Linked DNA regions of Caenorhabditis elegans. The protein of the gene in region 1 purifies or fractionates together with the protein of each later gene. This does not show direct contact. Each region holds a gene or a part of one and is shown on either strand. Other genes may lie near its edges.

Evidence for each region. The genes of interacting proteins can lie anywhere in the genome.
Region 2: the proteins of sas-4 (region 1) and F18C12.4 fractionate together in Caenorhabditis elegans (co-fractionation; one large-scale study listed by BioGRID). This does not show direct contact.
Region 3: the proteins of sas-4 (region 1) and F59A6.12 fractionate together in Caenorhabditis elegans (co-fractionation; one large-scale study listed by BioGRID). This does not show direct contact.

What each region holds. Positions count from the first base shown.
Region 1 is NC_003281.10:8,313,317-8,321,292, forward strand, and holds sas-4 (Spindle assembly abnormal protein 4), read right to left. Parts: upstream 5,273-7,976; 5' UTR 5,266-5,272; coding exon 5,173-5,265; intron 5,125-5,172; coding exon 5,029-5,124; intron 4,949-5,028; coding exon 4,604-4,948; intron 4,488-4,603; coding exon 4,268-4,487; intron 4,226-4,267; coding exon 3,693-4,225; intron 3,517-3,692; coding exon 3,073-3,516; intron 2,803-3,072; coding exon 2,644-2,802; intron 2,598-2,643; coding exon 2,410-2,597; intron 2,362-2,409; coding exon 2,302-2,361; intron 1,549-2,301; coding exon 1,260-1,548; 3' UTR 1,033-1,259; downstream 1-1,032. Other genes in the region: F10E9.2 (uncharacterized protein), read left to right, coding at 28-75, 130-211, 260-538, 583-707, 755-970; F10E9.11 (rRNA-processing protein FYV7), read right to left, coding at 5,430-5,697, 5,755-5,822; F10E9.10 (uncharacterized protein), read right to left, coding at 6,313-6,369, 6,414-6,530, 6,577-6,684, 6,729-6,833, 6,884-6,964. UniProt on the Caenorhabditis elegans protein: Required for centrosome duplication. Plays a central role in determining centrosome size.
Region 2 is NC_003279.8:8,059,539-8,063,911, forward strand, and holds F18C12.4 (Small integral membrane protein 29), read right to left. Parts: upstream 2,430-4,373; 5' UTR 2,256-2,429; coding exon 2,239-2,255; intron 2,076-2,238; coding exon 1,976-2,075; intron 1,928-1,975; coding exon 1,826-1,927; intron 1,722-1,825; coding exon 1,422-1,721; intron 1,374-1,421; coding exon 1,305-1,373; 3' UTR 1,251-1,304; downstream 1-1,250. Other genes in the region: K04G2.10 (uncharacterized protein), read left to right, coding at 266-940; che-3 (Cytoplasmic dynein 2 heavy chain 1), read right to left, coding at 2,521-2,967, 3,181-3,563, 4,013-4,145, 4,216-4,373.
Region 3 is NC_003280.10:5,010,273-5,014,068, reverse strand, and holds F59A6.12 (C6 domain-containing protein), read left to right. Parts: upstream 1-1,990; 5' UTR 1,991-2,012; coding exon 2,013-2,070; intron 2,071-2,119; coding exon 2,120-2,295; intron 2,296-2,337; coding exon 2,338-2,481; 3' UTR 2,482-2,546; downstream 2,547-3,796. Other genes in the region: F59A6.3 (Sushi domain-containing protein), read right to left, coding at 2,890-2,927, 2,978-3,275, 3,327-3,449, 3,495-3,538, 3,588-3,796.

The DNA of each region.
Region 1 (7,976 bases):
GATATATTGAAAATTAATATTTTTCAGGTCGGAGATGAAATGGATTTTTCATTACAATGTGATGCATGCAAGAAAGTAAGATTGTTTTACAAAATGCAGGTTTTTGAAAGATCAAACCAATTATTCCAGTTAATCATTGGGTTAAACAATTTGGATCGTTTTGATTGTGGGCACTTCTACTGTCTGGTGTGTAGTCCACTTCAGCCAAAAGGTAACAGAAATTGATCAGAAATCTGATAAAAAGAGTTCAATCTTTCAGAAAACCACTCGTCTTGTGCCACTTCGACATCTCCGTCAAATGCTTTTACGCGTGAAGTCTCACCGCAACAAATTGCTGAGCATACTGGAGAATTGTCGAATAATGGAGCTGAACGTGGAAAGATTCGAGGAAGTACTCGTGCTACTCGGAAAGGATCTGTGAACAAATCAAAAAGTGGAAGGACTCGTCGACATAAGAAGGTTCCGGATCAACGTCTTTGGTACTTTTTGTACCTTTCAAAGCCAGTCGTTGTCAGCCTTCCAACGGATGCCACTTATCGTAAGCTTAAGAATCTAAGATTTTTAAACAATTATATCGTTCAGACGATCTGATGGCTCGACTCTACACGCTTCTTGGTGTCAGCGGTAAGACCCATATGATTACTCTGAGAACTCAGAAATCATCGAGTGAAGAAGGCGAAGGCGAGTTTTCTGGTCGAGGTGACCCGGTTAGTTTTTTGATATTCTGAATATAAAAAGATAAGGATGATTGTAGGCTCCTCTTGAAGTCGGCGATTCGAAAACTCGTCTCAGTGATCTAAAGATTACACGTCACAAGATGCTGCTCCTGGATGTAGATGATCAGAAGAAAGATGGAAGTGGTGAGGAGAAGAAAGAGAAGAAAAGTGCGGAAAAAGAAAAGAAAATCTCACACGAAAATGTTCAAAGTTTGAGTCCGTCGAGTCGTGCAGAAGATCCGAGATCATCTTGAAATGTCTCCAGTGTTCCAATAAATCTTTGCAATCTGAATCCCGAATTTTGTGCAGAACATTTAAAGTTAAAATTGTTTATAACAGTCAATAAAATAACCATGAAGATCAATATGAAAGAAATGGGGGAGGGGGCAAGTGAAAATTGAGATAGTAAAAAATGATTGAATTATTTGATATGATTTTACAGGAGGTAGAATTAATTATAATTTTAGAGCACTCAGGAGTGAAAAATAATGTCAATGGAATAGATATACAAACCACAAGTTAAAATAAAGGGGTTGGAATTTCTCATTTTTTCCACTGGAACAAAGTTGTTTTCCGACGTTTATCGCCTATCATCTCTGCAGTTTCCAATGTACCTTCACACGTGGAAAGATTCACTTCAAGTCTCAATGTTTTCTCGCTGCATTCAGGTCGTCCAATGATCTTGAGAATATACTGATTGTTGAGACCAGTCGGATCTCCCTGATACCAACGAAGACGGAATTCTGGCTCAACGAGCTCAAAATCGTTGTAATCAGTGACGAGAACGTAGCGACATTGATTGTCGCGATATGTGTGTGTACCGGGATTGTATCTGAAAATTTGATAGGTTTCAGAGGCAAAAATATTTATAACGGGGTTTTAAACCTGTTTTACTAACTTTTTGAAGAATTGAGGTCATATTCCTAAATTTTGGGTTAGACAAAAATTATAGAAACATGTTTTGTTTGAAAATATATTATTTGCTAAAATATCGTTATACTTATTTGAGTTTTTTTAATGAATAAATTAAAATTCATCGAAAAACTAACTAAGGAAAATCGATGAAAATTCTGTTTCAAATTGAGTTTGAAATTACAGTACTCTTTGAAGGCGCCAAATTTTACAATTTTTTCGTTAAAGGACAGATTTTTAAATGTGAAAATACGTGCGCCTATAAAGACTGTTGTAGTTTGGTTTATTTATCTTTTTTCTAAACTAATAAACATGTTTTTATCAAAAAAAAAAGGGGCAAACAACAATTCGACAGTAACGCGATTTTTAAACTACAGTAATATTTAAAGGCGCACGCCTTTTCCCATTTAACTAAATTTTATCGTGCCGAGACATTTTTTGCCGCAAAATGTCACATCTCTTTTTTTATTTTTGTTTCGTTTTATTTATGTAATTTATTTATGTAACCACTTGTGATGGTTTGTATCTATTAATGTGTGTGTGTTTTTTTTTCTACCTAACGATATCTTCTATCGTAATAAATTAAATTAAATTAAATTAAACATCTGGGTAATAGTTTTGAGATTTTAATGGTTTTTCTGAATAATTAATTGGAAAATGAATAGAGACTCACTTTCTCGAAACTTCTTGATTGCTAAAATCCTTCGTAACATATCTTCCGTCCCTATTGAAGCTGAAATACGAAATTTCCGATGAACTTTAAAAAAGAAAATAATCTTACATTTCAGTTTTATACATTCCGTTTTGATAAATCAAATCAGTTCGAACTTCTCGTCGTTTAATACTTATCAATGTTATGTTATTTCCAGGACGAAGTACTTCAACTTGCCTTTGAAATGTATGAATAATTGAAATATTGTATGTGGGGAGATCAATTCTGACTGTTTTATCAACTGCGGATATGTAGATCTGTAAATTGGTCACTTTAATTGACAAAATTCCAATTAAAACTTACATTAACAGCGTTCTGCCGATTAACCCATCGAAGATCTCCATTGGAATATTCGAAAAGAAGACCGTTAGCTATTGTATCCGTCACTTTAGATGTTTCTCCAAGAGAATCTCTGTAGATCGTGCATTTTCCAAATTTTCCCGGCATTTCTTTGACTGGCATCTTCAAAAAGCATGATTTAAAATTTTTTTTTGACAATTTTCGGTAACTCGAAAACTATTGATTTTTAATTCTGGGAATTTTGAAAAATCGGAACTTTCGGCAAATGCTAATAGTAAGCTGTAAATTTTTAGACTTAAAAAACTATTTTTCAAAAATATTAATTTTTTAGTCGGGAAGAAAAAATAATTTGAAATTTTTTTTGAATTGATTTTTTCAGAGCAATATTCTAAAAACAATTTTAAAAAAACCCTGCTTTGATCTAAATATTACCATCAAAAACTCCTGTGGTACAGCTTCCAATGATTGTTCATTTGGTTCATCTGCCCAACTAACACCTCTTTCTCGATTTGATGTAGATGGTTTTCTAAATGTTGTCAACGAAGATGATGATGGATGTCTAGATGGACCATTTGATGTTATCGAAATTGGAACACTTTGATTCAAAACTGGTGGCACTGGATTCGAAGTTTTTCGATTCATTGCAACCTTCGCGAACATCTCCTTTTCTTTATCGTCGCGTTCTTTTTCAGTACGTAATTGTTTTACGCGCTTTTCTAAAGTCTGTAGAGTGCTCTTTAGCCGGTTTCCGTCTTTCTGAAGCTTCTCGATTTCCTCGTCTTTTTTCTTGAGCTTTTCGTCTCGAACACGTATATCCTGTCGATATTGTGCATTCTTGGTTTCTGATGCTCTTAATTTGTCGCGGAGAGTGGCTATCTGAAATTTGACAAGTTTTGCTGGATTTTAAATTAAAGGTTTTATAATAGAATTTCAACTTTTTAAATTCTCAATTTATTTCAATGAAAATTTTAGATTTTGCTTTGAGAAAAATTTTCAATCGAAATTTCGTGGTTTTTCTCGAATAACTATTTCTTGCTTAAATTCTTAATTACCGTTTCTGTGAATTCTTTATTCCTTTCTCCCGTTCCTTTCTTCAATATCTTCTGATCTCGTTCAAGATCTCGTTGATCCCTCTTCAATTTCTCGTAAAGTTCATCATAATCTTCCTTAATTTTCTCAAACTTCTTCTCAAATTCTTCCTCAACTCCTTTTTTGCATTTCTTAAATTCTTCTATCAGTTCTTTCTTAAAATTATTGACTTCGGAAATTTTTTCTTCGAGCTGTCGTTTTGTGGTGTGCACGGATTCTTCTGCATAATCCAAGTGAGCAATAGTGTCTCTCAGTTGTATGTTCAAGTTACGATGACGTCGAATTTCAATTTCAAGTTTCTGTCGGTCCAGTGATGATCCAGGAACATGTATTGGTTGATCATAAACGTGCTCGGGTCGATTTTCATCTTGAACATTTCCATTCTGTGGATTCTGTCGTGATGAGTTCATCATATCATTTCGTCTCAATGGGGCGGTCACAGTAGGTCTTTCATGGTGTTGTAAAAGGCTTATTCCCGTTTGAGCCTCACTTCGAACTAAAAATCTAATCAATCATGTTTTTTTTGTTATTAACCTACCAAGCTGATTAATTCTATTGCTGCCAAGCGGTCGAGCCTGTGGTGTTTCCAGAGAAATTCCTGATAATTCTTGCATTGAAGACGGCCAATTGTGATTATTTGGGCCAACGCCTAAATCGTTCATAATTGGTGTAGACCGAGTAGGAGGCTCAGAGGAGTTTGATGGTGCACAAGATGATGGCGTTGCCAGTGATGTTGTGATTGTTGAAGCTGATCTCATCTTTAATTTTAATTAATTAAATTTTGAATTAGAGAGTATTCGTAGGTTTTGATTTTTGATACGTAAATCTATTCTATGTAAAATTTCAATTATCATTCTGATTTGGCTGTTCTTACCGAATCCATTCTTCTCTCAAAAGCTTTGAATTCGGCAGCTGCATTTTTATACTTTAAAGCATCATCAGACAATTCATGATCTGAATTAACAAGAGTCGAAGGTTCATCAGGCACAAAAGAAGGCATTGCAGATACTTCATCCGTGTCATTGTCTTCTTCTTCTTCAGCGTGCTGTCCACTGTGGCCATGCTCTTCAGCAACGGAAGGTGCGGGATTTAGACGATTTTCCGGCGAAGATGACAATGATGGTTGATCCATTGGAAGAGATGCGGTGGTTGGTGGACGGGTCTCGTCTTCATTTGATATTCCACTGTCCACGGTTCGGGCAGAGTTCGGGAGAGCATTCTGGAATAATTCTACTTAATATTTATATTTAACTAGTCACCACAGTTTTATAACGTTTGTATTTAAGATATTTTACTTACCGACAGACTAAACCTAGGAACATTAATAGAAGGACTTGAAGCAGATGAAAGTTCCGACGTTGGAGGTGCACCAGCAGATGTTTTGTTGTTTCTAGGCTGAACTTCATATATTATTTCGATAAGCCTTGTATTTGCACAAACTACCATTCTAAATCTTGCTGTTCCTTGTCCTTTTCTCAAAAACGGCCGAGAAGGCTTCTGTTCACCGTCGGCACCGATATTTTCATCGGAAGCCATCTGAAGGCTGAAAAGGTTTTTAATAAATAATTGAATTATATTTCAGAAAATAAAGTATACTATCGGTAAGAAACGAAGAAACGATAAAACTATCGATTTTTAAAAACACAACAATTTCATTTCAACAAAAAAAATCTGAAAATATAAAAGACAAAACAATTAGTTCATTTCTTCTCCTTTTTCTCCTTATCCACTCTTTTCTGTATCCTCTCGAGAAGTACATCCATTTGAGCATTCAGATTTGGTTGTCCTTTTTTATTTCTTTTTGCCAATGCCTGATTCATCTTCTTTCTTGATTTATTTGTCGCTGCAATCGTCTCATTTCGCTTTTCTCGTTCGGCTCGCTCTCGTTGTTTCTCCTCTTCTTTTTCTTGCTTCAGACGAAGATATACGTCTTGTGCTTGTGAAAAGCTCATTTTCTTTTGCTTTTTCCTAAAAATGTTGATGATTTCAGATATATTAGTTTTGAAAATAGGAAAGAAAACTTACGATTTAACTTTTTTGGGTGGTTGCGATGCCACGGCAGTTGCATTGTCTGTCTTTGATCGATTTCCCATCTGAATAAACGATTGAGATTTCTAAGAAGAGATTATGTGAAATTATAAAAGCGTTTTGAAGGGATTAAGGTGGTAAACGGTATAATAACCACAGCGGGGGGTAACGAGAGAGCGTGCAAGACGAAGATGACGCAGACAATTCCCGCCGTCGTGCTAGGGAAAATGCTAGTCCACGGCCATCACAATTCTAGGCCATTTTCAAAGAAAACGGAGGGAGGTTCAAAATTTAATTGTTTTTGTTGAGAAAAAGAGAATTAATTCGAATTGTCCCTCATCATCCGCGCTCGTGACATGAATTTCGAAAATATAATTTATGCCAGTAATGAGTATCAAAATAATATTTACATGAAATGAATTGAGCAAGAGTAAATATCACAGTTCACATAATATTTTTGATTCCTATAAAATGTTTCATATTTGATAAAAACAATGATACAAGTTTTTTCACATCGATTTGAAGAAGATTGGAAATTCAAATATGTTGGAAGGATTATTGAAGTGTGAACGCAATTGTAGCATGTAAAAGGCATAAAAGTATTGAAGATCCCTGAAAATATCGATTTTTAAACAATCGTTGATTGGTAAACCCACAGATGACAGTAACCACTGATCAGTCCATTGAACTTGATTTACTTCAATGGAAAAATGAATTTCTATTACAGAACTAATACCACCAAGTAGAGAACAAAGTACTGCAGATGGCATTTCCTTTAATTTCAATATTTATTTTATTCCTCCTTCCTATAAAACTTACCATAAAATTGAATGTAAGAACACATGAACTACTTGAATAATATATTGCAATTATTAACCAAGAAAACGATATTACCATTATAATCGGAGCTGCTATCACCGGAAAGTACTGAAAGTTATGTCATTTCTTTATGGTACCAAATTGTATGATACCTGTAGTAAGTGCCGAGTACTTCCCCATCGAAATTCCTTCTCAACGACACAGTCATAATTTTTGCAGTAAAGAAGATTCCAGTATAATAAAGAGCAGGAAATAATCTAGAATTATAGGTGTAAACTTGAATTTTCTATTGATTGGTAATTCTTACGATGGAAACAGTGTAGAGGTACAGTGGTAGGCGTGTCCGAGGATATGGAGAACTTATTATTTTTGGTATCACTGTGACCATCCTGAACACATTATTATTATTGTAAGAAGAAAAAAGAAGAAATGAGTTAAATAAGGATGTCAATGGGTAGATACTTGCAGATAACTATTTGTAAAATATAATTTTATAAGTTATAAGTAACGGCCTTGATCGTTTAAAGGATACCGTTTATTTTCAAATGAAACTATTCCCAGAATATCTATTTCAAGAGTATCTGGATTGTCTTAATGAAATTTTCAAACTGGTCGTATTTTGCTAGTTAAACAAATTGATAGAAACTATTCTCGCCAAAATGCCAAATTATCATAGATATATAATTTTTTTAATTGAAATTTTATTGTTCACTGTCAAAAAATATCAGTCCTTATCATAATTTTGGAGGATTCTCTATTAAAAATGAACAAATTATTTCTACGAGTTTTTTTTCGGATTAAAAAAACTAACAACTTTCTAGAAATTAGATTTACATTTATGCTCAAAATTGCTGGGAAAGCCCACATTTTCTTAGAATTTGGCAATTTACCAAAAAGTTGACTGAAAGTTTTGAAACATCTAAAATTTATTTAGGTTTTAGGTTTGAATTACTATTATCCAAAGAATTTTACGTTTTTTTAAACGCAAAGTACCGTATTTCCTCGTCGAAAATCGCAAAATTTCGAATCTAGGTGTACAAAATCTTGGCTTTTTGAAAGTAACAAATCGATAAATTCAAAGCTAATTGATAAATTCAATTTCTGGTAAAACGGAATTTCTGGCGTTTTTCAAATTTCATGTCTTGAAACATGTGTTCTTCAAATAACAATATTTCGGAAATTTTTAAGGTTTTCTGAAGAGGTACGATATTTGTGGCTTATGAGAGTCCTACATCTATAGAGCTTCTGAATTTCTAAAACTGGAAGGCAAGAGGAACGTAATTTAAAACTGGGCAAAGTTAAAACCGAACGTGGAGCACAAAAGTTATGATGATCATAAAAATGAGATGGATATTGAAAGCATATAGTTGAAAGAAGAGAAGGGTCTCTGGTGCATGTAG
Region 2 (4,373 bases), on another chromosome or scaffold:
GATCTCATAGCAAGAGAGAAATGATGTCATCGGAGCAGATGTTCTCCTTTCCTATGCCATTCTTTTTGCTAGTTACAGCACTACATTATCGATTGCAGCTTTGGGTCTCGACACGAAAACGCTCGTCTCCGATATATCGACTGCTACTGTGCTCAATCAAACATTACCCATCTTTGTTCTTGTTTTCCTTATTTTTTATTTTTTTTGGAACACATTAATTTTTATATTTTTTATTTATTTCAGAAACTCAACACTAAAAAGAAGTATGCAACGCTATAATCCACCACAAAGCTCGAATCAAATGTACTGCCCAGGATGTAATCGTCAAATTCGAAAAGTTCAAGAGTTGATGGACGAGAGGTACCTGACAAACATTTGTAATGAAGTGGAGAAGAACACCATGAGACTTCAAATTCAAGATTTGGAGAGACAAGTTCAAATGCGTCGATGTGAGAATCGGAAGATGAAGACTATTCAGGAAGTCGAAAAGGAAGGATCAACAGAATCTCAAGATTCAATTCATGACCATCCAATGGTAAAAGTGTTGATGGAGATCAACGATCAATTGATGATTGAAATGAGAAAAAAGGTTGAAGCTCCAGAAGAATATCCATTAGAAGAATGGAAAGATGCTATTGAACAAAAATGGAGTGAAAAGTATGAAAAGCTTCGTGATTATGCATTGGATCAACAAGACATGGTCAAATATATGGAAGAGAATGATGATCGACAAAAAGAAAGTATTGAGAAGTATAAACGGAAAATTGGTTCGATGAAAAAAGTAATTGAAAAGATGGAATTCGAAATGGCACTTCTTCAATCGGAATTGGAAATGAAAGACTCCTCATGTGTCGAGAAGTCTGTAAATAGTGAGGAAAAGCAGGAAAACAAGGAAAATCTTTCTGGTGTTCTCGATAATAAATTCATTTTCCAGAACTAATAATCTAACTTCAAAATCTCTTTTTTTTTCAATGCTTTATGTTATTTTCTTGCTTTTTACGAATAAAGTCTGTAATGACTATTTTTCGTTATATTGAAAAACCTTGGAGTCAGGAGTCTTCATAAAAGCAACAAACTTGCCCATTTCGGTAAAATAATTTAACTTTTAAAATAATCTAAAAAACAATTAAATGTTTTCTTGGAAAATTGTTTTGCTAAATCTTTTCATTCACCCAAAAAAATCAATGGCTATGGAAGCCCCTCAGTATTGAAAAATAAATGTTCTCAGGTTTCATATTTAGGTAAATTCATTAAATGTTACGAAAACTTTATTTATTCCAATAAGTAATTTCTAACAAGTTCTATCAATTGTCATCATCTACGAGTTCATTTCTTCTGACTAATCGCATTATGTCCAAAATCAATTTCTTTTTCTGAAAAATGAAATAAAATTGAAAATTTAATTTAATTTATGTTCTTACCTTTGCATAGTCATTATCGCTCATTCCCTCAAGAACTGGATCGAAATCTCTTTCGAATGTTTCACTAAGCTTCTGAGATGTTGACACGTGATTTGTCCAATGCTTGTAAAAGAAATGTCTTGAGGAATCAGATTTCCAGGCATCTTTCATCTCGACAAATTGCGATTCTTCTTCCTTATTCCATGGTGTATGCATTAATCCAGTGAAATGATCAATTGGGCGACGACGAAGGAGATGGAGGAGAATGATAATTGAGAATATTGTTAGAAAAATGCAATACATGTATGTCAAGTAGTCGGGCTGAAAATTTTGGATTCAGTAAACTTTGTGGATTTTGAAGATTTGAAACTGGGCACTTCATGATCATAAAATTGCTTTAAACATCCAAATAACAAGGAACGAACCAACAAAAAGCGCTCATCTGGAGGAATTTCTTTTGTCGGTCCATTTATCTTGTGTGGATATGATTCCATTGGTAATGTGTAAAAATGATTGATAAAGATTACCTGTGATGTATTAAATAATTGATTTTTAACATTCATCGATTTTCTCACCGTTGGACCTTTTCCACTTTTCTGATAACCGGCCAATGAATCCATTTGGGTTTCAGGAGATCCATCTGCGAGACGTACTGATAGAATACAAGATAATACTCTAAAATGGAAAGTATTCTTGAGATTGATCTATTTATTTCAGAGGGCACGATGTCCGCCCGCCTCTCGCCCAGAAAACGCCCCACAAATTTGATATGTAGAGCAAGCTTAAATAACTTGTTCACATAGTTGCACATAGAACTGAGATTGAGCACAAAACTTACAAAATTGCACATTCCATTGTTGTCTTCTATTGAAAAAAATAATGATGCTGGATTTTTGAAATTTTCGTTATCAATGTTACAAATTCTACGTGGTTACGTCTAAATAATTATTTGTATTCTCTTGACTTCTGGAGAAGGCAGGGACTCGATTTCCAAAGCGCCGCAAGTTTGGTGTATTGTATTACTGTTGTAGTTAGAAATATATTCTAATCAATTAATAAAACAATCACTCAATCTCCAAATAATATTTATTAAAACTTTATCACGGTTAAAAAATTAAAATCATCTCAAAAACAATGCAACAGCTGCAATATTCCATTGATCGGCTCCACGACATGGCATATTAACCGAGCATATCAAATCAGATCGTTCACTTGAACTATACACTGGTACCTGAATCTGCTCTCCAGTAATCGTTGAAGAACTTTCAGATGTCCATGCAAGAAAAACTATAGGAGCTTGAGAATAAGCAGCACTGGATACTGTAGTTTCACGAAGAAATGAATCAAACGTTGCTCCTTGAAGCAAGAGCCCTTGAACTTGAACACATTGTTTAGCTGGTAGTTGAGAAGGAGTCCATGCTGATGATAAGATCAGTTGATCTAATGGAATTTTTATTTGACGAGATGTTGTTTGACGGAGTGCATTTAAAAAGATGTTTGGATAGAACAAGTCCGAAAAATCAATTGGGGATGAGAGCAGAGAAGATGATTTTGACGATTCGAACAGCTGAAGAAATGTATATTTATTGTGTAAATTGTAAGTTTGTTTAAATGTGGAGTATGGGGAATGGGGATTTAGTTTTAAAAAAATCAAAACTGTTTTAAAATTTGAAATACCACAAAAGAAATACAAATCATATTGCCAAAGAATGAAAAATCCAACTTTAAGTTGACAGCAATAAAGTCATGTTTTTTTATTTTTTATTTTCAAAACTGTTACCTGCAATGTTCCACGTGTCTTCTTAACAACAACATTTAAATAATCTGCAGGATCACTTGGTCCCGCCCACATGCTATCCCATTCATCAGGTGTCTGTTGAAATACAAGTGATTGAATAGTTTTCTGAACGGCTGGAGAAGCCAACGAAGGGGTTTTCATCGATTTTGCCACGTGACCAATGCTTCGATGAAGTTGTTTTATAAGAGAAAGAGCGTTTATAGTTTCCAGACAAAGGACTTCGGAAATCGGATCAGCAGATCGGATTGCTGTCGGAAGTTCTCTTTTTGGTAGATCATCAGATTGGCAGAGCTTCTTCCAAAGCGACACTATTTGTGAAATTTTATCTGATTGGTCGGACAAGGCGTTCTTTGTATCACCGAGTGCTGAAATAGTTCAATACTTGTGCAAATTTGTAATAAATTCAATAAAACATTCAAAAACTTTGTGAATGCGGAGTAGCGTCAGTGGATACCCGAAATGACAGAAAATGGTCTCACTATACCGAATATAGCTGTAAAAATTTTTAAAAAATTCTAATTTTTTGACGAATATTTCCATGACTATATCCATTAATCAAAAGGGATGAATTATTTTTGAATTTGCTTTTTTCTTAATTTTTAAAAATTATTTTTTATACATTTTTCGGCGATAATAAACGCGGGAATTCCACAGCATTTCAGCCTTTTTTATCTTTTGAAAAATTTAAAAAAATCATAAAAATGTTTTACTCTTCTTTTTTATTGTATTTATTGAGCCTGTTTTTGTAATATTACGCAAAAAATTCCACACACGCTGCTCCACCTTCAAACCCCGAGTAATCTGATCTTCTTACCAAGAGTTCGAATAGATGAAATTGTTCGATCAGCTTCAACAATTTGCCACGAATATTTAATATTTTCCGGTAGTCCAAACAGATAAGGCTCATCAACTGATGGAACTGATTTAGAAATGTGGCCAATATATTCCTATAAAATGGTCAAAATCTTGAACTTAAAATTCTCTCAGTTCCCAAAAAAAACCAAAATATAAGTGTACCTGAACATTAGTAGTAGCCAATAAATCAATCCCTTTCACCAATTGTGATCCAGCTCTTCCATTAATTTTTTCATCACAAAAGAGAACATTCAAATATGAATCCAATACTTTAAAATCAAAATCATTTTCGATACGACCTCCGTATATTACAAATTTAA
Region 3 (3,796 bases), on another chromosome or scaffold:
GAGAATACACGCTCCAATATCTCTTGGGACCGCTTTCACGATGAATTGAGAAATGAGGAAAAAGGCGTGGGCATCAACATTTTTTACTGAAAAAAAGGAAATTGGTTAGCCAACTTAGCAGGTGGAAGATGTTGGGGAAATATATAAGACCCTGAAAATAAAATCACCTGAAATCTTCAAAAGTTAAATTGAATCAAAAATTGAGTTTTTATTTTTGGTTATTTTTTTGCTGAGAATTTCGTTGAATATCATGGTAAGGATTTGGATTTTGAAAATTCAAAATGTGTTATCAACCCAAAGATCAGTTCCTGAAAAAAGGAGATGTTTGAAAAACAAACGTTTACAAACAGGAAAAAGGTCATATTAATATCCGATTAAATTTTTGCCTTGAACTTTAAAACTACTTTGGAACTTATAACTAAACTTCCGTCAAATTGAAGATATGAAATGAGATGCTTTCTTGTCGGAATATTCAAAAAATTTGAAAAATATCTAGTGAAACATTTTTTAGAGATTTTTGATAGGGCCGAACAGAGTAAGATGGGTTTTTCATGTTTTTTCATGCATAGTTATGCTGAAGCCAAAGACCTGTGCGGCAATAGATTAAAAATATATTTTCAAAATCATTCCTAAAATTTAACTCTTTCACGGATTTTAAAAATCATTAAATTAATTTATTAACTTTCTGAACTTTATGTGACGTGGCTATTGTAAAGATCTGGGACAAAGATAAGAGAGAAATTTGCTATAAATTGAGCAGAGTTTACCATAATCTTCACTGTAAGTTTCCACACTCTACAAAGAAGTCGCCAGTGCCCAATCCGTCCCACCAGGAGATATCCAGACCCAGCCGGGTACGAAGATCGTCTTCAATGCACCATACGATGACAAGCACACCTACCACATCAAGGTGATCAACTCCTCGGCTCGCCGTATTGGATACGGTATCAAGACCACCAATATGAAGAGACTTGGAGTTGATCCACCATGTGGAGTTTTGGACCCAAAGGAAGCAGTCCTTCTTGCTGTTTCCTGTGATGCCTTCGCCTTTGGACAGTAGGACACTAACAACGACCGTATTACTGTTGAGTGGACCAACACCCCGGATGGAGCTGCAAAGCAATTCCGCCGTGAATGGTTCCAAGGAGACGGTATGGTTCGTCGCAAGAACCTTCCAATTGAGTACAACCCATAGAGCCCTCTTCGACCTTGCTCAATAAATGAATTTTGAAAGCTCGTTGTTTTTTCTCTTGTTAAAAATGTTTAGGTTTAAAAGTGCACCAAATTTGGTGGAGGTAGAGGTCCACTCCCAACCGAGTTCAACCCAAAGAAGGCTTGATAAGAAAACCCTCGAGTACAATCCATAGAGCCCTGCTTGATCTTATTTAATGAATGAATTTTGCAAGTTTCATTCTTTTGCTCTCTTCAAAATTTCAGCTTTTAAAACGTTTTCAAATGGTTTACATTTAACCCACAAGAGGCCGCTTGATATCTCTTCTCTGTTCATTGGCAAAGGCATAATACAATGACTTGAATCCTCTTTGTCTAAACTTGGTATATCCGATTGTGTGTTGGAAACGAGGTGTGGTCGGTTTGTTATGTATGACTTACGACCACTGGACGCAAAAGGTTTTATAATGCTCACCGATTTGCAGCAGCAGGTGCGGCGAGATTTCCTTCAAATTCATGATATGGAAAAATGCATTCCGATTAATTACTTGTATGATTTCGCAAAAAAATATGCTTACAGTAAAGAGCACTTGTATAAACAGAACTCCAATTTTGTTTTGAGGAAAGTTTGAATTTATGTATGTTTTAAAAATTTTCAGTATGGAAAGTTCAACTTTGTTTTTCCGTTGAATTTCTGTTCAATCTGTTCGTTTCAATAATTTTCATTTGAACACGATTAGTCATCGCTGTGCGTCAGCTTTTTTTGTTTCAAATTCCATAATAGAATGTGTTCAAATAGATGCTATAAAACCAAAATTTTGAAGAAAATTCACTGCAAAAACATGAATTATTTATTCGCTTTGGTTCTGTTACCACTTCCTGTTTCAATTTTGGGAAAAAGTAGGAAACATAAAAACATTTTTAATTTAACTATATCTATTAGTTCCAGAATGTTGCCAATTCCCGGCTTATTCATTTTCCGCTATGACAAATGTTACAAAAGAAGACTTTAAATGTTCTGAACCAGTTTCAGTGCTTTGTCAAATTGACACTAATGGGAGTGGATATGTTGCAGTTGGAATTTCTGGAAATTTAACGGAACAGGCAGATACAAAGCCTTTAGTCGTGAGAAAACTTTTTTGAATTTTAAAAATATACTTTTTCGAGATCAAAAAAGGTTCATCTTCAATCTCGGCGTCTCTTGTATGCGACACTTCTTCTCAAATGTGGAAAGTTGATAAGAAATCCGATAAATATGACAATATTGGTTGTATCATGAGATCTACTGGCGGAGTTTGGATTGTTTATTGAGTATTTGGAATAAAATATATTTTTCTTTCAAAAATAGGAAAATGAGTAATAAAATAAATACTAAACTTCACAGTACATTCATTTAAAAAAAAATATTTTTCCCAAGTTTTGACTGAAATTTATGAAGAAAAAACCATTAATTGGAACCGAAATGCATAATGATTGTGTCTGAATACCCTAAAAGATCACATTTAAACATTTTTCAGAATATTTTGAACAACAAAAGTGCACTACAAGTTACTTGCCTTTAAGTTGACCTACGCCTCTAAAATTAGGCGTTTCGGTGCCTAAGCTAAATAAATATTTTACCGATGTATTCAATATATTCACAAACTTTAATTGTCAAGTTTCTCAGAGTAACACAAATTAATTTATTTCCGGACATAGATTTAAAATTTTAACAAATCATTAAAGTCTTGTTGGCAATTTTAGTTCACTCTTTCCATCTGAAAAAGTCACACATTTGTTTTTAAACAATTTATACTTCAAAACTTACAAATACAATTCTCTGGTGATCCTGCCCATTTTCCTGTTTTCAAGCACTTATAGATCTTCACAGGTTGCAGTGCAATTTCAAAAACATAAGATTGCGGGCAAACTTGAGTGATGAGCTCTCCGACAGAATAACTGCTTTTGATTTGTGAAGAAGTTGGACTGGAAGTGTAGGTCAAGTTCAGGGATGGTTCGATGCAAGTGATAGAGGAATTTGTGTTGTTGTAAGAAACTGTGAATGTTGATGGTGATGTTGATGAATCAGAAGATCCAGAAGATGAATTGGTTGGAAGTGTTGAGCCCTGAAAATTGATTTTTCCTGGCTTTTCCAGTGATTTTTCTATATAACTTACAGATTTGCCATTGTTAACTGCTTGAGTTGTTCCATTTGCTGCAGACGTTGTATTTTGCGAGAAATTTTTCCCGGAAGATGTTGTCCCTCCTGATGAGTTTGAAGGTTTTGAGGTAAAAGTCACCTATAAAAATTTGATACCTAAAATAATACTTGTATGTGAAGTTACATTCCCTCCAAATGCACTTGAAATTGTTGCTGATGTCGTTGAACCTGAATTAGTTTTTATTTGTAAATTGGTTTTAATAATCCTTTGGGCTACCTGTTAATTTTCCTGAAACAGTTGAAATATTTTTTCCTGAAGTTGTAGACGGACCAGAGGTTGTTGATTTTGTGCTTCCAGATGTTGTAGAAGGACCGGAAGTTGTTGAAGGTCCAGATGTTGTGGATGGACCTGATGTAGTGGATACAGTACTTCTAGAAGCGGTCGATGGCCCTGAACTAGTAGACGGACCAGATGTTGTTGATTGT